Linked DNA regions of Tamandua tetradactyla. The protein of the gene in region 2 binds, or shares a complex with, the protein of the main gene of each other region. Links are inferred from orthologs where the notes say so. Each region holds a gene or a part of one and is shown on either strand. Other genes may lie near its edges.

Region 1 (7,622 bases), on a different chromosome or scaffold from region 2:
ACATTAGGGCAGGTGCGGAGAAGGGCTGCCCTGGAGAGGTGAAGAGTGGCTGCTTTCCACCAAAAAGAAAGAACTTAGGTGTGAGAAAGAACAAAAGGTAAAAGGGGGAGAGAAAAACCGAGAAGGGGTGTGGTTCAAGGAAGGGAAAGGAAGGGCATCTCCCCGGGTTTCTGGGAGGGGGCGTGTGGGAGACAAAGCTAGAGGACAGGGAGGGCAGAAGGCAGGGTCTGGGGCAGCTCACCCAGTTGGTCTCTAAGGGAAACGCAGTATTTGGGGGGAGGGTCTCTGAGCCCACATCTCCGGGCTGGCAGGGTCTTGGGGTCTGGCAGCCTCACCGTGAGAGCCAGGCAGTGGCGGGCGCAGGCAGCCTTGTGCAGGGCCGTCATGCCGTCCCGGGCGCGGAAGTCGATGTGCGCCCCGCCCAGGCACAGGGTTCGAATCACCTCCACGGAGCCTTCGGTCTGGGCCGCCAGCGTCAGCGGGGTCTCTAGGGGGAGGGGTGACGGGAGGAGGGGGATGTGATTGCCTGCAGCCCCCGTGCCTCAGTGCCCACCCCTCCTGCTTTCCCAGACCCCAGGTTCTTGGCTCCGGGGTTGTGCACTCCCCAACCTCTGCACCCCCAGCCTCTCCCTCCGCCCCCCCATCCCATGGCCCCCCTACCCACCTCCCGAATCCGAGTCGTGATAGTTGGGGTCGAGGCCTTTGTCCAGAAGCCGGGCCACCTTGTCGGACGTCCCGAGCTGCACGTACTCCAGAAACTTCTTCAACCCCGTCTGAGTGACGGACAAAAGGAGAGGGTCAGGGGGCCAAAGGGAGAAGAGTAGGAGGGGCCTCGGGGAGCCCTCGCGGTAAGCCTCCTGGGCCGCTGAAGCTGCTCTAGCAGCCACCGTAAGGAAAATGTTCCATTTTACTGACATTAATTTCGATGAAACGTTATCGAACCCAACAGAGGTCAACTAGTACCATTTCCATAGGGCAATCGATATCAAAATTATTCACGAGACGTTGTACGTGTTTTTCATCCCACGTCAATAAACTCCAGTGTGAATCTGATGCTCATGATACGTCTCAGTTTGGACTTGTTCCCCTGCCTGCAAGAGCTCGCTGCCCTGGCCTGTGCAGGCCTGGAGCCCAGGGGACCCTCAGGAGAGGAAAGAGTCAGGTGTGGGGTACGGCGGGGGGCTACGGGTGAAGATCCAGGGGCCTCTTTTCCCACATATCCAGGTTCTCTCTCTTCACTTCTTATGCAAGCAGCCCCCCGCTGCCCACCTTCTCTTAGGAGAGCAGGGACCTGGTCTGCAGATAGGACAGCGAGGGGGTGGGTGGGCATGGCTGGGGGTGGGGTGGGGGGGGTGCTTGGCTTTGGCAGAGTTTTAGGTGATGGAATGGGGGAGCTGCAGGGCTCTTAAAACACTCCCCGGGCAGAGGGCAACTGGATGTCAGGGGTGCAGGGACTCTGGGAGGAGCCTGGGGGCTCAGGATGAGAAAGGGGAGTTGAAAGACAAGGGAAATGGGAGCCAGGTAGAAATAGTGTGTGGCAAAGAAGTGGTGGGCGCCAAAGAGGGGAGTCAGAAGGGGTTATGTCATGTGGGCCAGTCCCGAACAGCATGTGGCACCCCACGTCAAGGAGGGGAACCTGTCGGAGGAATAGAAGGCTGGGGATAAGGAGGGCTGTTGGAGGGGGGCTCCGAGGGGACATGCAGCGGGGGGCTCACCTTCGTGTGCAACTTGGCCAGCTGTTTCTCATCCAGGTTGGTCTGCTTGTAAACTCGGGTCTTGTATCGGAACTGAGGCCCGGGGAAGGTGGGGGGGGGGAGGAGAGACACAGAACTCAGAATCAGGGGCCTGGGGAGGAGATGGGGGGGGTAGGGTCTGTCCCTCCCCCGCCTCCATCCCCTTCTGAGCCAGGGGTCAGCCCAGGGGTGAGGTGGGACGAGGCATGGCGCCTTTGCTGGGTGGGCAGAGATGCCGGCCGGCTTTTCCCAGAGGGCTGGGCTGTGGTCGCGCAGGTAAGTGACAGCCCCTCCCTCAAAGTGGGAGCCTGGACCTTCGAGAGAATGTTCTAGAGCACCTCTATGTGCCTAATCCTTCTGTGCCTGCCCCATCTCTGTAACTGGGCCAGGAGAAGCTTCAGGGGAGAGAGAGGGGGCATATGGCTCAAGGTACTCAGCCAATTGGAGGCAGATGAGAGCTAGATTTGAATTCAGGCGTCTTCTCCTCTCCCCTGGCTCTGGGGCAACCTGAGCCCCGAAATAGCCCCCTGTTAAGAAACTTTTGGCTGGGGTTGGCTGGAGTTGGCTGGGAGGGAGGGGGGAGGGTGTGCTGGGGAGGTGGGGGGCTCCCCTTTTCTTTCTGAACCGGCTGTGGGCCTCACCTCCAGGTAGGGCACCCCTTTCTCGAAGGACTGGGGGTACTCGCGCAGCAGCCGCTCCTCTTCCAGGAAGTTGGCGTCGCGGCCGGAGGTGGCAGGCTGGAACAGGCCGTAGTTGAGCACGTCGTGCAGGCTCTCACTCAGGGCGCACAAGATCTGCTGCTTGGCTGTCCAGATGGTGGCGTCGGGGTTGAAGCGCAGACATTTCTGGGGGGGGTGGGAGTGGGGAGCATGGGGTCAGGGGCCGGGGAGGAGCCTGGGGTGAGTGCTGGGGGGGGCATTCTGAGGACAGGAGGGGCAGAGGGAGTGGGGGGGGGTTTCTGGGAATGGGGGCGTCCCAGGGGGAACACCCTGCCGCAGAGGCGCCCCCAGTGTGCTCAGGCCCCTGCCCGCCCCCTGCCCGCCCGCTGCCCGCCCCCGCTGGCCACAAACCGTCTGGTGCAGGTCGGGGATGCCAATCCTGAAGACCATCATGCTGAAGTGGGCGTCGTCCGGGACAGACATGGAGCGGCCCTGGAGGCCTCGGACCGAGGCCAGACTACCAGGCGGCCCGCTGCCCCGGGTCCCCCGGGGGCCTCGCCCGGGTCCGTCTGGGGAGCTTTCGGACTCCGAGCCCTCCTCGGGGCACTCGCTGGCACTGCGGTGGTCTTCGTCCTCGCTCGACGCGGGGCTGTGGGGCATCGTGGGGCCACGGGGCGACGGGGGACGGCAGCATTACAGGCGGCTGCGGAGGCCAAGCAGGGACGTCAGACCCGGAGCCGGGGAACCCCTGAGAGGCCACTGGAGGCCACGGGCAGCTAAGGGGCAGGGGGAGGCGGGCTGAGGCGGGCACACCACACCCCCGGCCGCTCGCGCCGCCTCCCCGCGCGCTCCCGCATGCACCCCCCCAGGCCCCGCCACGCTTCCAGCAGGTCTCCTTCCCTGTCCTTGGCCCCCCTTGCAGCCCCCCACCCCCCCTGCGCCCCACTTTGCCGCTGACCCAGCGTCGCTGTGTCCCAGAAACCGCAGAATCACCGCGGGAGCTACTGGCCCACTTTGGAAGGCCACAGAAAGGCAGCTAAAATTAGCCGAGGACAGACAGGTGGACGCGCCCACCGGCATTGCGCCCTCCTGGCCCCTGGCTGGCCCCTCACCCAAGGCCCTTCCCTCCTCCCAGAGAGCGGGTGTGGGGGGGTTGGGGGGTGACTGAGGCCGGGGTGTAGTGAGGGAGAGTGGGAGGTGCCCGGGAGCGGGTGGGACTAGACTCCACCGCGTGCGGCTGGCAGCCCAGGCAGAGCAGCGTGGCTGGGAAGCCGGCGTCCCAGGGGAGCAGGCAGCACCCAGGAATGCTGTCCCTGAGGGAGGTGGGAAAGGCGGCCAGTGTAGGCTGTTGGGGGTGCATCTTGGGATGGCACGTGGGTGGCGGGGGCCTGTCTGGGTGGAGGCCTGGGGTGGGCTCAGGATGTGCCCCATGGGTGTGTTTCAGGCACTGGTGCCTCCACTCCTAGAGGCCTTGGGGTGAGAGAAAGGGGACCAGCTGGGAGGTCACCAGGTCACCTCCAGACCCCCACTGTTCTCCCCTGAGGTGGCCCAAATGAGGCCTGCCTCCCCCATGGCCTCCCCCACTCCCACCCCAGCACCGGAAACCAGAATGTCTGGTCTGGTCCCTCCCCCCCACGCCAGGCCCGGCTCCTGCACGGTTGCCATGGAAATGGGAAGCAGTGGAGGGTACTGCTGACTTTGGGGGAGTGGGGATGGGCTGGGGGGTTGGGGGAGGGAAGGCAAAAACGTGTGTGTGTGTGTGTGTGTGTGTGTGTGTGTGTGTGTGTTGGGGGGAGGAGAGTTCCAAGAGCTGCGGGCCAAGCATCCAGCCAGGGGCCACGGGCCCCTCCCCCACGCGAGGCCGGGTCGCCGCACCCCCCTCCTGCTCCAGGTCCCCCGCGGCGCCGCCCCACCTGGCCTCTACTGGAACCCCGGCCGCCTTCTGACACCCCCTCCTGGCCCCACCCCACGTCCCACCTTAGGACCTGGGGCCTGAAGCCACTCCCCCTCCGCTGACCCTGGCTGACCTCCAGCCTCAACTGGGCACTGCTGGGGTGACCAGCGGCAAGGAAGAAAAGCCGACCGGGGTCCCCAGCACGCGCGGCTGCCCCCCCCCCGCCCCCGGCCCAGCTCGGGCCCCTCCCCCTCAGGCCCCGAGGGAGGGAGCGGGCACACTCCGCCGGGGCGGCATGAATCAAACGCTCCACGGCTAAGAATAGCTGGCACGCAGCTGGTACTGAGACTGGCTGAGGAATCGGCGGGGGGGGGGTGGTAGAAAAGGGGAGAGAGGGGGTGCCCTGCGAGGCTGCGGGGGGACGGGGTCGACCGGCGTGGCCGCGAGCGGAGCCCCGGAGAATGAATGGAGGCGGAGAGAGGCGCGGGGAGGCGGGAGAGGGAGCTGGGGTTGGGGCCAAGAAGCTGGTGGGGCAGAGCCCCGGACCCGGGAGAGGGGGCGGGGGGCACCCGGGAGCGCGACTCGGGGGCGGGAGCCGAGGGGGCGCGGCGGCCGGTGCAGAAGGAAAAAGAGACAGGGTGGGGTGGGGGGAGCTTGGGAAAGGGTTGGGAGGGGATTGGAGGAGCCTGGAAGGAGAAGCAAGGGGTCGAAGGGGGCGGAGGCGGCCAAAGCCTAGACCCCCCCACAGGGCGGTGGGAACCTGGGTGACCTGGGGGAGGGACCGCGAGCAGAAGGGCTGCCAAAGGGGGCAAGGGGCTCCGGCGGGCCAGGGTGGGCGAGGTGGGGGAGTGGCCGGGTAGGGCCGGAAGGCGGGTTCGGGCCCGGGGTTCTGCTGGCGGGGGCTGGGGGGCGTCCCCCTCCCACCAAGACTGATCTGGGACGGGACACCGGGGACCGGGGCGTAACCCAATTTGGCGTTGCCCCGGGTGACGCTCCCCTCCTCAACCCGCCCCCCTCCCAACCTGGGCCCCGAGCCCGGCGCGCGGCCAAGGACATCCGGGGCGCCCCCGCCCCCTCCCGCAGCCCCGGCCCCGCGGATCCCCCGAACCCCCGGATTCCCGGGCCCCTTACCTGCCTGGCGGGGCTGCTGAGTCCCGGTCGGCGGCGCCCGCGGCCCCTCCCCCCTCCCCCCTCCCCCCACCCCCCCGGAGACGGGGGGGGACCCTCAGGCCATGCCCCACCGCCCCGGAGGGCGAGCGGGCCCGGGGAGGGGGCGGGCGGAGGCCGGGGGGAGGGCGGGGGTGCCGAGGACCTCACCCCCGCCGCGGGCCGGGCCTGGCCATCCGCAGAGGGCCCCCCTGCCGCCGCGGCCGCCGCGCCCCTCCTTGCCCGCCCCCGGCTCGGTCCGGCCGGCCCCGGGCGCCGCGTCTCCTTCTGCTCTTCCTCCGCCGCTTCCCCGGGCCGCCGCCGCCACCCGCTCCGCGCCTCCTCTGCCTCCCTTCTCGCGCTCTCGCTCTAGCTGTCTCTCCCTCACCCTGTCTCTCTCTCTCCCTCCTTCTCTCTCTCCCCTCCCTCCGCCCTCTCCCCTCCCTCCGCCCTCTCCCCTCCCTCCGGGAGCCGGCAGAGGAGACTTCGCCCCTCCCCGCGCCCCCAAACCTCGCCCATCCCCCCCCCCCCCCCCCAGCGCCGGCTCCGCCCCCTCCCCTCGCCCTCCCCCCAGCACTCCTCGCTGCCGCCGCCGGGTCCCCAAATCCTGACTCCACCCCTGCTTGCCCCCCTGTACCCGACGAAAGGGCCCTTCGCTCCAGGGGTGCCCAAACGCGGACCCCAGGAGGCCCCCCTCCCAGAGGCTCCCCACCCCCTCTGTACACAGCAGGGCACAGTACGTATCTGTTGCTGGACGCTGCACCCCCAGATTATTGGACTGTGTGATTATAGATTCCTGGCCCCTTAAAGGCGCCCCCCACACTTCCCCCATGACAGGGGCGCACGTGGACACACCTGACCCAGCATGCTTTCCCATGAGACACAGGCGTGTGGAGGTGCGAGCTGACACCCGCAGAGTGGCCACCATGCACACACCACCCCACATATACATGCTGTCTAGGGTATGCACACCCAGACACTATGGGCCTCGGTGCACCTTGCTTCAAACACACCCAGCCAGGACAGGTAGGTATCACAGCTGAGCGCCAGAACATGCCCACGTGTGTAAGCCCCGTTCTCCAGCACACAGACACACAGCTGTGGGGAGGTATGTGCACGTGCTCCTGATGTATTTGCTCCCTGGTCACTTGTCAGTACAACACACCCACTGAGGCAACAACACTATGTCCAGTCCCCTTTTGCGATAATTATTGTGACATTTATTTAGCGCTTCCTTGGTGCCAAGCTCTGCTCAAGGTTGGTTAACTCCTCCTCTCACACCCAACCCCGCTGGATTAGGAAATTTTTTCATCCTCGTTTAACAGTGGGGAGGGGAGGGTTACCAAGGCACAGAGAGGCTAAGTAACTTGCCCAAGGTCACACAGCCCCAAAGAGGTGGTGCCAAGGACCGGGGACAGGTAGGCTGGCCTCAGAGTCTTTGCTTACCTACTAATGTGTACAGCTGGGCACACCCACATTTGCATATCCTTGTTCATCGTGCACACTCAGACGCACCCAGCCATCTCCTCACGGCTTGCACAGACATGTGCAAGCACACACACACAAAGCTAGGTGTGTGCAGACAGCCCACTCATGCCTGTGTCTACAGAGACAGGACGGGTCCCAAAGGACAGCAGGTGAGCATCCGCATGGCTCAGGCTGCCTCCTTCCCAGCCCCACCACCGCCCCTCAGGGCCACCAGCCTGCACAGGGGAGTTCCAGCAGCCTCTGGGTGCACCACCAGCTGTGGGCTCTCTGGGGTACCCCAGTATGAGCTAGAGCAGGTGCCGCTGCCCCTCAGGGGTGCCCAGACCCGGGAGGCCTCGTGCTCAATGCATACCACTGGCCCAGGTGGTAAGCAGCTGGGCTCTGGGAGACAACAGCTGCCCACACTGGTGCCAGCTGCAAGAGAGGCCACCCAGCCCTCTACAGTTTACAAGCCTTTCAGGGCTGGGAATGATTTCGTAAGGCCTCCAGGCCCTGGCGAGGGGTCCCCAGGATCTGCCCAAGGTCATACTGCCCTCGAGTACCAGGCTTTCTTGGAAAACCGAAGGCACCTCCTGGGTTTCCGGCGACCGAGGGCAGATGCGCAGCTCCTGGTTGGAGCCAGAAGGAAACCTTGGCTAGCTGCCGCCATACTGGCGACCTCCAGCAGGCCCTCTCCCAGCCTCGGTTTCCTCCTCTGGAGAG
Region 2 (7,052 bases):
AGCCTTAGCCTCCCTGTCCTCTAGTCAGAGGCTTCCCAGGGGAACTGAGCACCAATTGCTCATTTACACACTTTTTATTCATTTTCTCCCTCCTGCTTCACTTTATAACCTCCTTTACTTGTGCTTTCTGGAATCACTTCCCAAATGAACTAGTTCCATCTAAATCATTGCCACAGGATCTGCTTTTGGGGGAACCCAAACTTAGATAAGCAACTTGTTAACTTTATGCTTCACAATAGATGATATTGGTAAACTGTTTTCTGATCCTGAGTAATTTTTTCAATCATATATATGTATCTATAAACTTTTTTCTTTCCTTACATCTTTAATATTTACTATTTGGCCATATTTATTCCAAATAAATAGGACACTTTTATAAAATGAATGCTTTTCTGATACATACTTACAGTAGATATGAGTTTTCATAGAACTGCTTTTATCAATTTAGTTGATGGTTCAATTCAGTAAAATCCATTCTGCAGGGAGTCATTACTACACACTCAAGGATAGATATCTCCTTGTCCAGCTTAAGGTTGGGGTAGAACTTAACATATTTATAAGACTATCTTCACAGTCAAGCACAGTGCCTTTCAGCTGAGCTTTTGATAATTATTGGTTTGCATCTAAGTTTTTAGGTGTATTCCTAACAAATATCTGGAATGTGGCTGTCAGGCATGAATAAGCAGCCCAGTTAGGAATAAAGCTGAAATCCTCTCATGAGAGCTGCAAGAACTAAAGAGCATATGCCTGCACCAAAAGCCATTCCATGTTCTTTTGACAGTGAGCCCAAGGAATATCTACAACTCAGGGCCAAAATTTTCCTTAGAAAATAATTTTTATTGGTCCTCACCCAGTGGATCAATGAGTGATGGGCTATAGAGTTTCAATTCCATAGAATATGTCCTCTATAATTGTAACCTGGAAAACTTTTAAGGCAAGCTTAACCAAATGCATACCTTGGATACTAAAATACTTGAATTAAGCACCTAAAAACATTTAGCTTTGAACAGTGTTACTTTCTGGAATGTTTAGTTTGTTAAGCTGCCGGGATGCAACATACCAGAAACATTATGACTTCTAAAAAGAGGAATTTATTAATTTGCAAGTTTACAGTTCTAAGGCATGAAAATGTTCAAATTAAGGCACCAACAAGAGGTTACCTTCTCTCAAGAAAGGCTGATGCCATTCGGAACACCTCTGTTAGCTGGGAAGGCATGTGGCTGGCTGGCATCTGCTGGGGTCTTTGGCTTCTGGACACCTCTGTCAGCTGGGAAGGCTCAGGGCTATGTCTACTAACCTTCTTTCCTGGGCTCTTCAATGGCTTCCCCGGGGGCATTTTCTTTCATCTCCAAAGGTCTCTGGCTGTGTGGGCTCTTGGGCTCTGTTGGCACTGAAGCTTTTTTCAAAATTGTTCCCTTTTAAAGGGCTCCAGTAAGCAACTCTACCTTGAACGAGTAGAGACGCATCTCCATGGAAACCATCTAATCAAAAGGTACCACCCACAATGGGGTGGGTCACATCTCCATGGAAATAATAAAAAAGATCCCATCCAGCAATATTGAATAAGGATGAAAGAATATGGCTTTTCTGGAACATGCAACAGTTTCAAACTTGCATCCCTTCCAAATAAGCTCTTTTTGAAATTAATATACATCCAAGGGAAAAGAATGCCCTTGGTAAATAAAAATGTTTAAAATTTCGGGACCTTCTACAAAACAAAAAACAAAAAACAAAAAACAATATAATTAGCTACCAGCTTCACTGGTCTCCTAAGGCTTCTTCCTAGAGCTTGCTTTTTGTAGAACTATTTTACTGAGTTAATTTGAATCTTACTTTTTTATCAGATTTATAAATGCCAGACCTAATTTAATAGAATAATTGTAATGAAGACATTCTAAATTATTTTTCCAATTCAACAGTAATGAGAGTACATAGGAATCTCAGTGAAAAATTACCCTTGCATTCATATCCTTCTATTGATAAAGACTCTTGGGGCATAAAACTTGATATAGTTTATATTAGTCAGGGTTTTTCAGAGAATCAGAGCCAACAGGATATATGTGTGTATGTGTGTGTTTTCTGTGTATACATATATACAGAAATTTATTTTAAGGAATTGGCTTATGCAATTGTGGGGAATGGCAAGTCTGAATTCTGCAGGATGGAGAAATTACAGTAAGAGTAATAACTGAAGTCTTGAGTTCAAATTTCTTAGGCGAAGCTGACAGACTGGAAATTCTGCAAGATTTGATGTTGGGTCTGAAATTTGTAGGGGAGGCTGGCAGGCAGGAAACTCAGAGAAGTTGAGGGTGTAGTCTTGAAGCAGAATTTCCTCTTTACTTTGGAACCCTCAGTTTACTTTTAATGCTTCCAAATGATTGGATGAGGCTCACCCACATTACCCAGGATAATCTCCTTTACTTAACGTCAGCTAGCACCATCTACAAAATACTTCATGGCAACATCTAAGCCAGTGTTTGATCAAACAGTTGGACACCATAACCTAATCAAGTTACATATAAAATTAACCACCATATAGCTGTTAGCTTCTCTAATGGTCTTCTGAAAGCCTAAAGGAAAGCAATATAGAAAACAGGTTAGGTCCATCAGTTCTGGAGCCAGATAGCTTGGATTTGAATCCATCTCTACCTCTTACTGCATGTGTGACCTCGGACAATGATTTCATTTCTGTAGGCTGCATTTCCTCTTCTGTAAAATGGGGATAATGAGAGTAATTTCATAAGGTTGTGTTAATGATTTCGTGACATAATACAATTAGAGCAGTTGACACAGTACTTGGCATTTAGTGAGCAAATGGTAGCTATTATCACCAAATATTAGTTACCTTCATAACCCAGAATTGATAATGTTATTGAATTATCTTATGTTTCTATTTGGAAAGCAAACTGGTTAAGAAAGCTGGAATATATGCAATTAATGATTGCACAGAAACACTCTCGATGAAAGCAGAAAAAGAGGAGGAAGAGTTAAGCCTCTTTACTTTCTAAAATAATAAAACTTTATATAATTTCTAGCTCTTCTCGCTAAATGTATTAATATGTGTGCCTGAAACACAGTACCCTTTCTATAAGCGATTGATAATATCATTTTAAACTATCGTGGAAGTAAAGGCAAAGAAAGAGGGAAAGCACTGACAACTCATGCAGATGAAATAAATGAAAGTAAATGTAGCAATGAAATCTCCTTACATACTGTCCTGTTTTTAAAAGAAGCTCTATTTCTTCTTCAGGATATAAATATGAGTTGTTTGAAAAAACTCGTTTATTACACTACGGTTTGAGGTCCGAATTCCTTAAGTTAGACCTGTACGTGTCCATAGACCTGTGTCTAATTGAGGCTCTTTTTACTCATATATAATCCAACTAAGTGCCTAATTTGAGCTGTTTACATTTTCCTTCGTAATAATCTACGTAGATCCGTTTTAGGTGTTATTTTCTTGACTTTCCTCTAACAGTGTTTGTAACGTCACCATTAATTTAAAGTGGAGTGATTCCAAGGTTTCTGGACTACGAACATTCTCTCCCCAAATGGCCCGTACGTACGTATATTTAGCCACCCTCCTTCCAGAATTTGGTGAGGTCACCAGCCGTCTTAACCAACCTTCCACTAGGGGGCACACGAAACCAAGCAGCATAGCGTTAAATTGCTGTTCACGTTTAAAAGGACTAGCAGCAGCGTTAGGAAAATCAATCCCTTCCTGAATTAGACCCATCTGGTTACATACTTAATTATAATTTATGTTCCCGTAATTATTGTATTGGAAGGTGGCGGTGGCGAAGAGAGACGAATGTCTCTTTTTCAGGACACCCCCTCTCCCCCGCCCTTGAAATCAAACTGGCAAAAATAAAAAGAGAATTCTGGGAAATATTTAATAATTGAAACATTCATGTTTAAAAATAAATAAATAAAACTTTATGAGTCCTCTAAGGAAGGGAGTGGGGCGGAGGAAGGGACAGAAGAGCGAAAAAAGTCAAGTGAGGCTCTTCCAACCAGATGGTGTCTGCTTAATAGACCCGGAGCAGAAGCGCAAATGGTTAACATATTGTGTAGAGGGAAACCGCACATGGCCGCGTGGGGGAAGGGAGGCCGCGCGAGCCTTCGTTGGTAAAACCACCTCCGCGAGTGAGACTGAATCCGGTCTTCTAGAGGTCAAAAGGACTTCTCGGGGCTGTCGCTTACTTAACAGCTGTCCAGGTAAGGACGTGCGCGCGCGCACACACATGCATAGGAGAATAATGGTGAGAATGGTCATTGAAGGGTGTCTAGATGGATGACTGTATCTAAATTCTCACATAAATGCACCTGTAAGTGGATCCACATGTGCAAAACCATATGCTCCAAGGCTTTACATTAACGGTTTATTCCTTGTGTCATTCGTGAAATTCTGGTGTGGGTTACATTTATATCATGCTCAAAGCCTGCGCAAAACCGCACGCAGCGTGTCCATTTGTCCGCGCGGCCCCGGCCCGTACCTAGAACAAGGCGAACCCATCTGTCGTGCGCAGCGGTGGCGGCTGGAACACGCCGAGGCGATGACAGGATGTAGAGCCGCTTGCAAACGGCATCTTCTTTTCTTCTTATTTCAGTGATGTCATTGGGCTACAGCAGCTGAGCGAGCAGGAGGAGGAGGAGGCGGAGGCGCCCCGGCTGCCGCCGCCGCCGCCGCCGCTGCAGGTTCATGTGCATATAATGAAAAGGCACTTGACAGTCTGCCAAAACGCACGCCAGGGAGAGGGAGCGAAACTGGACCTACTGGATTTCGCAAAGCCAATCGTCATCATCTGCATCTACATGGGGAAGGAGGAGGAGGAGGAGGAGGAGGTGGGATCAGAAGCTCCAGCCTCGGCTGCTCCAATGTGAAACCACGAGCAAAAAAGGGGGATCAGAAAAAGCAACGGAGAGCGAGCGAGGAGGGAAAGGTTGCTCCGTGTGCGGTATCCCCCCCCTTCCTTCCCCCTGCGGATTTCTCCTCCTCTTCGGGCAGCTATGAATTCCGCTGAACAGACCGTTACGTGGCTCATTACCTTGGGGGTGCTGGAGTCGCCCAAAAAAACCATCTCGGACCCAGAGGGCTTTTTGCAGTCGTCTCTCAAAGATGGGGTGGTCCTCTGCAGGCTGCTGGACCGCCTGCTCCCTGGGACCATAGAGAAAGTAAGTGCTATTTCAGCCCGCGCGCGGCCCCCGGCCCCCCCACCGCGCCCCCGCCTGGCCGCAGTCGCCGACCCCGGGGCGCCAGGCGGCACCCCACCCCTAGGCTTGACCCCTGCGCTCCGACGCCCACGCGCCCGCCTCCTGCCTGCGTGGTCCCGGGCACAAAGCTCAGGACCCCTGGGCCCCGGCCGCTGAGGCCCGAGATGGGCAGACGAGTGCCGGGACGCGGGAACCGCCTTGCGCCTTGGCACCTGGTTGACCCGCGCGGCAGTACCAGCCGCCCACCTCTGCCCAGAGGAAAAGGTGACGCGCAGGCAGGAAGCCTACGCACTTTCCTTTGTGCGCGGATCCCCCCTGGAAGTCCGGTTCGCGCCGGGAAAGCGCGGACGCATCTCCGCCGCGCACGGCGCTCCCCGCCCGACCGACCGTGAGGACCCGAGTAGCGGGAGCTCGGAGGGCGCCATTGTGTGCAGAGTGTGGAGTGGCGGGCCCGAGCCGGGCGGGGGGCTCCGTGGCCGCGCGCGGGGGGTGGGCGGGAGCCTGGGGCCGCTGCAAAGGGGACGGATCCCGCAGGCGGGCGCAGCCCCAGTGTCTTCTCCCGGTCCGATTTCGAAGGTTAGAACAGTTCTCTACACAAGAAGAAATCGGATTTTCTGTTCCGTTCTAATATTAAGTTGCTCCTCGGGTGTCGTGAGGTCTGTCTGCTCAGATCCCTTACAGTGACCTAATCAGAAAAGCTCGTTCCAACACCATGCACAGTTTTCTCCGATGGCTTTGTTTGGATAATTTTTCGTTGGTGGGGATATTGCAGTAGTTTCATCATTTTTCTGTTTAATTGACCAATTCCTATGCATTTTTTGAAGGTACATTCGTCAATAGCTGAGAGCTGAGCTGTGAAATGATTTACTACTTTCCCAAAGAAAGAATTCCTCATGTATTCCAATCCATGTGGATTGCAATCACTTAAGTTAAAAAGCCCTGGCATTCTTCAGAATTTGTTCAAAATACAAGATTTTATTTTCAGATTTCTACCTGATTCTGAACAGATCCAGAGTCCTGGAGTATTGCTTCTCCCTACTCCTGTCTAGTGGTTTCCCTAGGGATAAAGTGTGAACCTTGACCTGTATTTCTGTGAGTGATTAAAGTTTGTTTTCATCTCTACAAGCTGACAAAGCATGGGTGAGGGGATATGAAATCTTTTAAAAACTATATATCCTGCTATTTAAAAAATACTACAATTTTATTCCAAAATTTTTTTTGCCAGGGTATAATTTAAGATGAATCTTTTTAGAGATTATTTTTAAAATATTAAGTATGGAAGTTGGAGCGCACTATAATTTGGAGGAACAATTTCATTTTTTGTGGAGTTTTTAGCCCCTACAAACCAAGACAATTTTTTTTCCAAAGACGATTTTTAATAATAAAAAAGTTAATAAAATGACTTGAAAAAGTAAAACGTTTATCCTCATTCATAAATTTGCATATGTTCTGGGATTACATTTTGAAGGCCAGAAAAATTTTATTTAGCATAATAATTTTAGATGCTTTTCTTACGGGTAACATATTTGTGAACACAGAATGTGCACTTTAGAGTTAATACCTGCCTGCTTGTCCATGAAATAAAAATGTTGCTTCTAGATGAATCTGATGTCACGATAAAATTATGATTTAAAATGAGAATTACAAGCAGGATCTATGATTTTTTTTTTTTTTCGCATGGGCAGGCACCGGGAATCGAACCCCGGTCTCTGCATGCAACAAGCAGGATCTAATTTTCAGGGCTCTCAAAATACTTTGTTGTCATCTGAATATCAGTATTTCTGGTAATAAAAGTCAGAGTTGAAAAGCTTTTTGAAAATGCACAGTTTACCAAAGTAGAT
Region 3 (8,002 bases), on a different chromosome or scaffold from region 2:
TTCTCTACTACCTTACCTCCTATTCAGTTTATCACCTTACCTTACCCCCAGGTCCTCTAGATTGCAGAACCTGGAATTAGGATTAAAGTGCTGGTTCTTTTGGGGGGAGGTGCAAGTGAGGAGAGTAAAAGTGAGGGACAGGCAAGTCAGGCAATACAGTGTGATGTGCTACCATGCTGGGCAATGCTTCCAGTGAGCCAAGATGAAAAACAGCAGGTGACTTAGCAGATAAGTCAAATGGGAGTTCCCCTGCATGGCTATAAGGAGGAATCACACCATAGAACAGTCTGTGGAAAGGAGAAATTAGGGGAATGCACCTGCCTGGTCCTCTTCTGTCGCCCATTTCCCATTTGTCAAGGTCCATAGGAAGATAACTCCCCTGTACTTCTGTGTAACGTCTATTGTGCATCATCTGGCCTCTCAATGGCAGTTCAGGAAGCAAGATTTCACACCCTGTGTTACAGCATTTAATCCGTCTGATAGCAGAGGGACAATTCAGCGCAGACGTGTGTGTGTGTGTGTGTGTGTGTGTGTGTGTGTGTGTGCGCACACGCACAGGCCTGGGGCTTCAGTTTCGACTCCAACCAACTGAAGGTACTTGGCAGAGGCAGCAGCAGTCCTATGGGTGAGCGTGACTTTGGATAGAAAGGAGCATTCAAGGCAATCTGAAAAGAAACGCAAGGTTATGCTCGATACACAGCATAATCAGATTTCCCCCTCACTTTTCACCTTCACTGAAATTGATTTTGCAAAGGTCATCAATGGGGTCTTGACAAATCCTGAAAGTATTATCTAGTTCTTGTCTGACTGAACAACTCTGTTCCATTTGAGATTATTGACCACTTCCTCCCTGAAATTCTATCATCCTCTTGTTTTCCTGGTGAACAGAATAGGTTTTCTTCCTACCTCATTGGCTCTGTCTTCTCAGGGTTTTCTTCCTTCTCCCATGTCTTAGAATTGGATATTCTCTGTGGTTCCATTTTCAGCCTTCATTTTATAGTATCACTCTCCACGCTTAGCTGTCTGTCTCCAAGCACTGATAGTTACCGAATCAATATCTGCAGCTCAAATCTCTCTGCTCCAGACCCACATGTATAACCAACTCAGGACATCAAACCCTAAATTGAGCTCATCCTCTATTCTTAACTCCAACACTCACTAGAACTTCTTTTCTTCCTATATCCCTGTCTTGGTAAATGTCTCCTAACCAAGAACCTGGGACCTCTCTTGAATTTCTTTTTTTTTCTTTGTCTCTCAAATATAGTGAGCCACTACCTCTCATAGATATTTCCTCTTAAATATCTCATAGAGCTAGACCTTTTCTCTATTTGCACTGCCATTGTTTCATTTCAGAACTGCAATTGCCTCCTAAATGTTCTTTCTGCATTTGACCTTGCCTTTCCTCAATCAATTTTCCAAACCGAACCCGCAGTTATATATTTTAAAACACAACTCACCATGACCAAATGGGGGTTTAATCTAAGAAAATAAGAATGTTCAATGTTTTATAAAAAATCTATTTATATATAATTTATGTCATCGATGTATCAAAGGAGAAAAAGCATATGATCATCTGAACAAAATGCTTAAAACATTTTGATAAAAATCAACATACACGTTTTATTTTTAAAGAAAAACACCTTAGTTAGCATGATAATGAATACTGATCTCAAACCAAACCACTGGCTTATATTATACTTAGCAGTAAAACATTAGAAACATTCCCATTAAGACTAGTAATTTGACTGGCATTATAGTTACTTAACGTTATTCTGGAAGTATTAATCAATGCAATAATGAGAGAAAGAAACAAGGTGTAAATATTTAATAGGGAAACAAAATTATTATTTGGAGATGATATGGTTGCTTGGAAAACTATTAGCATTAATAATAGAGTTAAGAAAGTTTGGCAATTGTAACAGAGATATTTAAAAATTAATTTTCTTATATACCAACAATAATCAGTAAAGAAATATAATGGAAGAAAGACATTATCACAACAATGAAAATAATCAAAACACCCAGCTATAAATTTAATGATAAACATGTGATTCTACAAAACTCTAAAGGGAGATTTGAATAAGGGTAGAAATGTATTACATGAATGTATTGGAAGATTTAATGTTGTAAGGGTATTAACTTTCCTCAAACCAAGTCTATAAATATAAAATTCCAATAAAACGTCTGGGGTTTTTTTCTTTCAGAATGCAAAAGATGCTATTTTAAAGTTTATTTAGAAAAATAAACAAATGAGAAAAATCATGTGCATTAATAGAAAGAACAGAACTAAAAATTCCTTTCTCTACCAGATATTAAAATGAACCCACAGGGGTGCGGGTGGTTCAGTGGTAGTTCAGTGGTAGACTGCTCACCTCCCATGAGGGAGACCTGGGTTCAACTCCCGGACCATGCACCAAAAAAAAAAAAAAAAAAAAAAAAAAAAGAGAAAACCTGCAGGATACAATAATTAAAACATTATGGCTTTCACAGGAGGCTACACTCCCGCTACACGCAGCCCCGTCTCTAGAGATCCTGGAGAAATTCCAGCACATTTTGCGTGTGCTCAGCACCCACATCTGCAGCGCGGAAAGACAGCCCTTGCCAGCACTGCCGTTAAGTAAGGGTGTGGGGCGAAGGTAAGCTCCTGCGGTGCTGAGGGAGGCAGGCATCGACCTCACCAAGAGGGCAGGAGAGCTCACCGAGGATGAGGTGGAAAGTGTGATCACCTTTATGCAGAATCCGCTTCTGCACGAGATCCTAGGCTGACAGAAGGACATCAAAGGTGGAAAACACAGCCAGGTCCTGGCCAACAGTCTGGCCAACAAGCTCCGTGAAGATCTAGAGCGACTGAAGAAGATTCGAGTCCGCGGAGGGCTGTGCCACTTCTGGGGCCTTCATGCCCAAGGCCAGCAACGGAGAACACTGGTCACCGTGGTTGTGCCGTGGGTGTGTCCAAGGAGAGATGAGTCTATAGGCCTTGCCTATTAATGAATTGTTTATACACCTGAAACAAAAACATTATGGTGCTAGCTCAAAAACAGAGAATTCAGAAAAATATCCAAGTATTTGTTAGAATTTAGTATATAAGGAAGCTTGTGATTCATCGCAGTGGGTAGAATGTTGGGCCATTACCTACCATCAAAACAAAGTTAAAGGGGGTGCCAGGGTAATTCAGTGGTAGAATTCTTGCCTGCCATGCGGGAGACCTGGGTTTGAGTCCCCGTCCATGCCTTTCCCCCAAACAAAAACAAACAAGCAAATAAACAATTGAAAACAAACAAACAAAAAATTCAACAAATGGTGCTGCAATAATGGGGTACTCACATGGAAAAATATTGAAATGTAACCCTAAGATAAATTGCAGGAAAAGATTAAAAATTTTAATGTAAGTAAATGAAAATTTTTGATATGAGTAGAAGAAAACATAGCTGAACATTTATAAAACCTTGGAATAAAGAAGGACTTCATAAACATGAAATTAAAGGATGAAGGCATAAAGGATGCTAGAGTTGGTTACATAAAAAAGTAAAACTTTTTGTAGCAAAAATTACCACACATTGAAAGACAAATGACATTCTAGGGAAGCATCCTGAACCAAAGGTCCATATCCATAGCTTTCAAAGACCTTTTTCAAATCAGTAAGAAAAACACAAATATCTAAAATGAAAAATGCACAATTGACAAGAAAAGGCATTTTACATAAGAAAAAAACCCAAGTGCTCAATACATATGAAAAAAGTTGAACTTCACTATTGGTCAAAGAAATGCAAATTAAAGGCACAAAAAAATAAGGACAAATATGTGCACTATTAGAAAGTGTTTGGAGATTGAGACACTTAAAAGCCTTTCTGGATGTATAAACTGATGCAGCCCTTCTAGAGGGTACGAAAACCGACTCCACTACTAGAAAATGTATACCGTGGAAATAAACACATACACACCTCTTGTGGCACTGTTTGTAACAATAAAAAATTGGAAACAACTTAAGTGTCCAAAAATAAAGTATGTAGCCATTTCAAAAGATGTAGCAGAATATTATTTAGGAACAAACATATTTAAGGAAGGATATTTAAAATACCAAAGCTGTAAAGTAAATGCAGCCAGTAGGATAAAAAACATTTATATGACAATATGACATGAGAGAATAAATTTCTGTTGTTTTAAGCCACCCAGTTTGTGGTTATTTGTTACAGCAGCTCTAGGAAACTAATATGGGGAGAAACTTTTGATTTAGTAGAATAACTTAGAATCTCTTTGTGGGTTGGAGTAAACGAGGGGAATGCTGAATTACTTTGTACAAAAGAGAGTGAGAATTGGGGATGGAAGCTTTGGGGTTTATAGCTAGAGAAGTCTGATTTTGGAGAATGAAAAAGAGAGGGAGGAAGGGAGCAAGAGAACCTGGGCAGCTGGTGTCACCGTGGAGGGACAGTCAATGAGAATTTTCCAATGATGGGAATGACTGATAGACTCTTAAAAGAACTGATGTCTATTCCTTAGTTTCAAGCTGTTCTTTGGGCTGTGCTACAATATAAGCCATCCTCTCTTGCCCCAAAACCTTTCTAAAGATAAACACATAGCCTTGTTTAGGAAATATATGGGGGAGAGAAAAGGTTGAGGAAATATCTAACAGGGTTGTATGGTATAGAAAAAAGGGTTGAGGTGCCCCACGAAGTGAAATTCAGGGTGGAGATCAAGGTGGAAACTCAAAGCTAAAGGGGATCAAAAGAAACATTACCCCATTGCCCCTGTGCAGTTTGAAGCTATTATGTACCCCAGAAAAGCCATGTCCTTTAATTCTCACTCAATAGTACTGGGTGGGATCTTTTTTATTGTTTCCATGGAGGTGTGACCCACCCAATTGTGAGCAGTAACTTTTTCTTAGATGGTTTCCATGGAGATGTGTCTCCACCCATTCTAGGTAGGGTTGCTTACTGGAGCCCTTTAAGAGGGAACCATTTTGGAAAAAGCTTTAGAACCAACAAAAGCCACCAGGACCAACATCTAAGACCCAACAGCCAGAGACCTCTGGAGATGCCAAAGGAAAATGCCCCACCCCACCCCCCACCAGGGGTGCTTATGAAACAAGAAGCCAGGAGATAAAGCTAGCAGATGTTGCCATATGCCTTTCCTGCTGAGAGAAAACCCAAACCTTATCAGCCTTCTCGACAAAGGTATATTTCCCTGGATGCCTTAGTTTGGACATTATTATAGCCTTGACTTAATTTGGACATTTTCAAAATCCATAGAACTGTAAACTTGCAATTTAGTAAATTCCCCTTATTAGAAGCTGTGCCATTTCTGGTGTATTGCACTCTAGCAGCACTTATAAACTAAAACACCCCCCCCCCCCCAAAAAAAAAGAGAATCCACAGAGATAGTGGTAGGGATCTGGGTTTCCTGTCATGCTTGGGAGAGTGGTTTGAATAGGATTTTTTCTATCTCAAAGGTCATGGAGATTCTAGAAGGTTGGATGCCCCTGTAAAATAGATGAGGGGAAGGGGATGAGGAAATTCAGAGAAAACTGGTTAGAAGGATACACAGCATACAAACTTACTTATGATGCTAAGTTTATAAGCAATTGCTATTTTCTTCATCTAAATTTTGATTATTTTATAATGAATCCATATTACTTGTATGATTTTTAAAAAATAAGAATGTACCAAGGAAGAAATATAAAACATAATCAGGCTCTGTCACTTCTTGCTTAAAACCTGTCGGGACATCCTAACTCTTTCAGCAGGGCAGACCAGGCTCTCAGCCCTGCTGCCTCCTCCAGCACAGCCACTCTGCCCTCTAAACCTTACTCTCCAGCCATGTAAAACCACGTGCAGTTCTCCGAAAGGGCCTATTCTTTCCTGCCTTCCTGCCTTTATATGGGTTTTCTCTTTTCTTGGGATGCCCTCTGAAAGGTTTAGGAGGCAAAAGGGTGAAAAAGAAGAAAAGTAGACCAGGAAATTTAAAGTGAGCGAGTTTATTTCTGCGCTCCCAGGCAGAGCTCACCGCATCCAAGATGGAGAGAGGTGAGTCCGCACATGGGCTTCAGTGCGGGCAGCTTTTAAGGATGGGGGTCAGATGACGTCCGGAAGGGGCAGTTCATTAGTTCCAGAAGTCAGGTTGGGAAGGGTGACACAGCCTCTGCAGCTCCAGCTGCAGTGCCTTTCCCCATTCCTCTGACCTAACATTCCAGCCTTTTTGTGATAATAGGGCGCCGAGATCTTTCTGGCTACTTCCTGCTGTAATGGGGTGGCGTGGGGTTATAGGCCGGAACCGTCATGGCCAGGGGAGTGGGGAGGCTGGCTGTAGGAATCTGGTGAGGAAGGCAGGTGATGATAATGATGCAGGAGCATTTGGTTGATTGCTACCCAGGATAGTTCCTTCATGCATCCCTGAAGGAAGTTGAGGAGGCAGGGAGCTAGGAGGAAAAAGAGACAGATTAGGATAACTGGTCCTAGTAGTGGGAGGAGCCATGTCACCAGAGGAGAAGAAAATCAGCTAAAGGCAGAGTTGGTTCCTTGTTTTCTGTGATAGAGATCGTCTCTTAGTTTGTTTAGGGTTTGAATATTTTGTTCCACCAGACCCGACTCATTGATGTAATAGCAGCATTCCTCTTGTAGGAATATACACGTTCCTCCTTTTTCGGCTGTCAGCAGGTCTAAGGCCCGTCGATTTTGAAGAGTTACCTGGGCTAGTGAGGTGAGTTGGCATTGTAGAGAGGAGAGGGATTCTGACGTTGATTCCAGGGCTACCTGTAGTCAAGTTTCAAAGTTTTGAGAGGTTAAAATATTGTGTCCCAATGCCCCTCCCGCTGTGGTTGAGGCTGCGACTGAAGCGGTTAGGCTGATGCCTACTAGGATAGGAAGAAAGGCAGCCCTTTTTGAGCGAGGAGAGGGCAGTAGCCAGGTTAGTTCGGACTCCCCATAGAGGGTCAATTGAGGAACAATAGTTACCAGGAAGCATGGCCCTGGGGCAGTGGAGTGAAGGCACTTGGTAAGAGTTCCATTACCCCAGAAATATTGTCCTTTGGGGGCATGGGTGGTGTTATGGATAGTGACGTTAGTCTGGCACTTGCTATGATGTTTTGTTTGATCTATGGTTATATGTGTGAGGTAGCAGGTTTTCAGGAGGTAGGGAAGGTTATCAGGCTCTGGTTCCCATAGGGGGATATTTTTTAGAGTGGTATGGCAGGAATCAGGGCTATGATTGTGTATTTGAGTGAGATTTATAGGGACGGCTCCCAATAGTGGCCTATTTAATGATGCACAGAGGAAACAGCAGGATACCTTAGGGAGTATTTGCATTTGGTTGAGGAATTGCAAGGTTTGTTGGAGGATTTGGGGCCATGTATGAGGGGTTGTGGAGGCAGAGCTTTGGGCAAGGTGGCTGGAGAGGCTTTGCTCAGCCTGCAAAATGCCCGTGGATACCCGGGTAAAAGTAGTATTAATGAGGACATATTTGTGGTGTATTTCAATGGTGCTTACAGGGTATCGGGACCAGCCACTGTAGTATAGCTTGCCTTGGATTCCTGCTACCCATCTTGTGTCCCAGGGATCTGCAATATTTATGTAAAATTGCTGGGAGCTAATGTAGAAGGTACCTTTATGAGCTGCCTCCACATAAGCATCATGTATTCTGCATGACCAATGGGGGCATCCCCCATATATATTGTCATAGTTGTTTTGGTTACAGCTTTCAGTTTGGGCATATGGAAAGCAGGCATATGGCCTCAGGCCCTTTTCAACTGATTTAGGATTTATGGGGATGGTTATAGGCTGACTACAACCTGTTAGAGGGCAGTCTCCTGTGCCAATCATATGAGTGGTCAATCTATCATTTTGGCTAAAGGTTTCCCTGATTTTGAACTTCCATACATAGGATGCGCCCTCAATGGGGGTTAGGAGAATGAGTAGCATGAGTGAGGTGGACCCGAGTGGGCCCCAGGGGGTGACAAGTGTAGCGGTCCTCCTCTTGTTTGTATAGTTTGACCCGTGATAAGTGATGCCAA

Evidence for each region.
Region 1: the proteins of ARHGEF7 (region 2) and SHANK1 are in contact, whole or in part, in a crystal structure (PDB 3L4F), measured with the Rattus norvegicus proteins. The link is inferred for Tamandua tetradactyla from reciprocal best matches to the Homo sapiens genes ARHGEF7 and SHANK1. Residues at the interface, in XP_063131056.1 of Rattus norvegicus: Asp735, Ala737, Trp738, Asp739, Glu740, Thr741, Asn742, Leu743; in NP_113939.2 of Rattus norvegicus: Gly673, Phe674, Gly675, Phe676, Val677, Leu678, Arg679, Gly680, Ala681, Lys682, Phe696, Glu703, His735, Arg736, Val739, Ile742.
Region 3: the proteins of ARHGEF7 (region 2) and PAK1 are in contact, whole or in part, in an NMR structure (PDB 1ZSG), measured with the Homo sapiens proteins. The link is inferred for Tamandua tetradactyla from reciprocal best matches to the Homo sapiens genes ARHGEF7 and PAK1. Residues at the interface, in NP_001106983.1 of Homo sapiens: Lys192, Phe193, Phe195, Thr198, Asp201, Glu202, Glu217, Gly220, Trp221, Trp232, Pro234, Ser235, Asn236, Tyr237; in NP_001363202.1 of Homo sapiens: Thr185, Pro186, Pro188, Val189, Ile190, Ala191, Pro192, Arg193, Lys198, Arg203, Ser204.

Annotation. Positions count from the first base shown.
Region 1 is NC_135342.1:10,567,963-10,575,584, reverse strand, and holds the start of SHANK1 (SH3 and multiple ankyrin repeat domains protein 1), read right to left. Parts: upstream 3,053-7,622; coding exon 2,804-3,052; intron 2,579-2,803; coding exon 2,375-2,578; intron 1,788-2,374; coding exon 1,716-1,787; intron 774-1,715; coding exon 665-773; intron 488-664; coding exon 336-487; intron 1-335. UniProt on the Homo sapiens protein: Seems to be an adapter protein in the postsynaptic density (PSD) of excitatory synapses that interconnects receptors of the postsynaptic membrane including NMDA-type and metabotropic glutamate receptors via complexes with GKAP/PSD-95 and Homer, respectively, and the actin-based cytoskeleton.
Region 2 is NC_135330.1:180,969,811-180,976,862, forward strand, and holds the start of ARHGEF7 (rho guanine nucleotide exchange factor 7), read left to right. Parts: upstream 1-3,975; 5' UTR 3,976-4,215; intron 4,216-4,493; exon of another isoform or gene 4,494-4,607; 5' UTR 4,608-5,007; coding exon 5,008-5,172; intron 5,173-7,052. UniProt on the Homo sapiens protein: Acts as a RAC1 guanine nucleotide exchange factor (GEF) and can induce membrane ruffling. Functions in cell migration, attachment and cell spreading. Promotes targeting of RAC1 to focal adhesions. May function as a positive regulator of apoptosis.
Region 3 is NC_135334.1:67,315,456-67,323,457, forward strand, and holds the start of PAK1 (serine/threonine-protein kinase PAK 1), read left to right. Parts: upstream 1-4,939; 5' UTR 4,940-5,171; intron 5,172-8,002. UniProt on the Homo sapiens protein: Protein kinase involved in intracellular signaling pathways downstream of integrins and receptor-type kinases that plays an important role in cytoskeleton dynamics, in cell adhesion, migration, proliferation, apoptosis, mitosis, and in vesicle-mediated transport processes.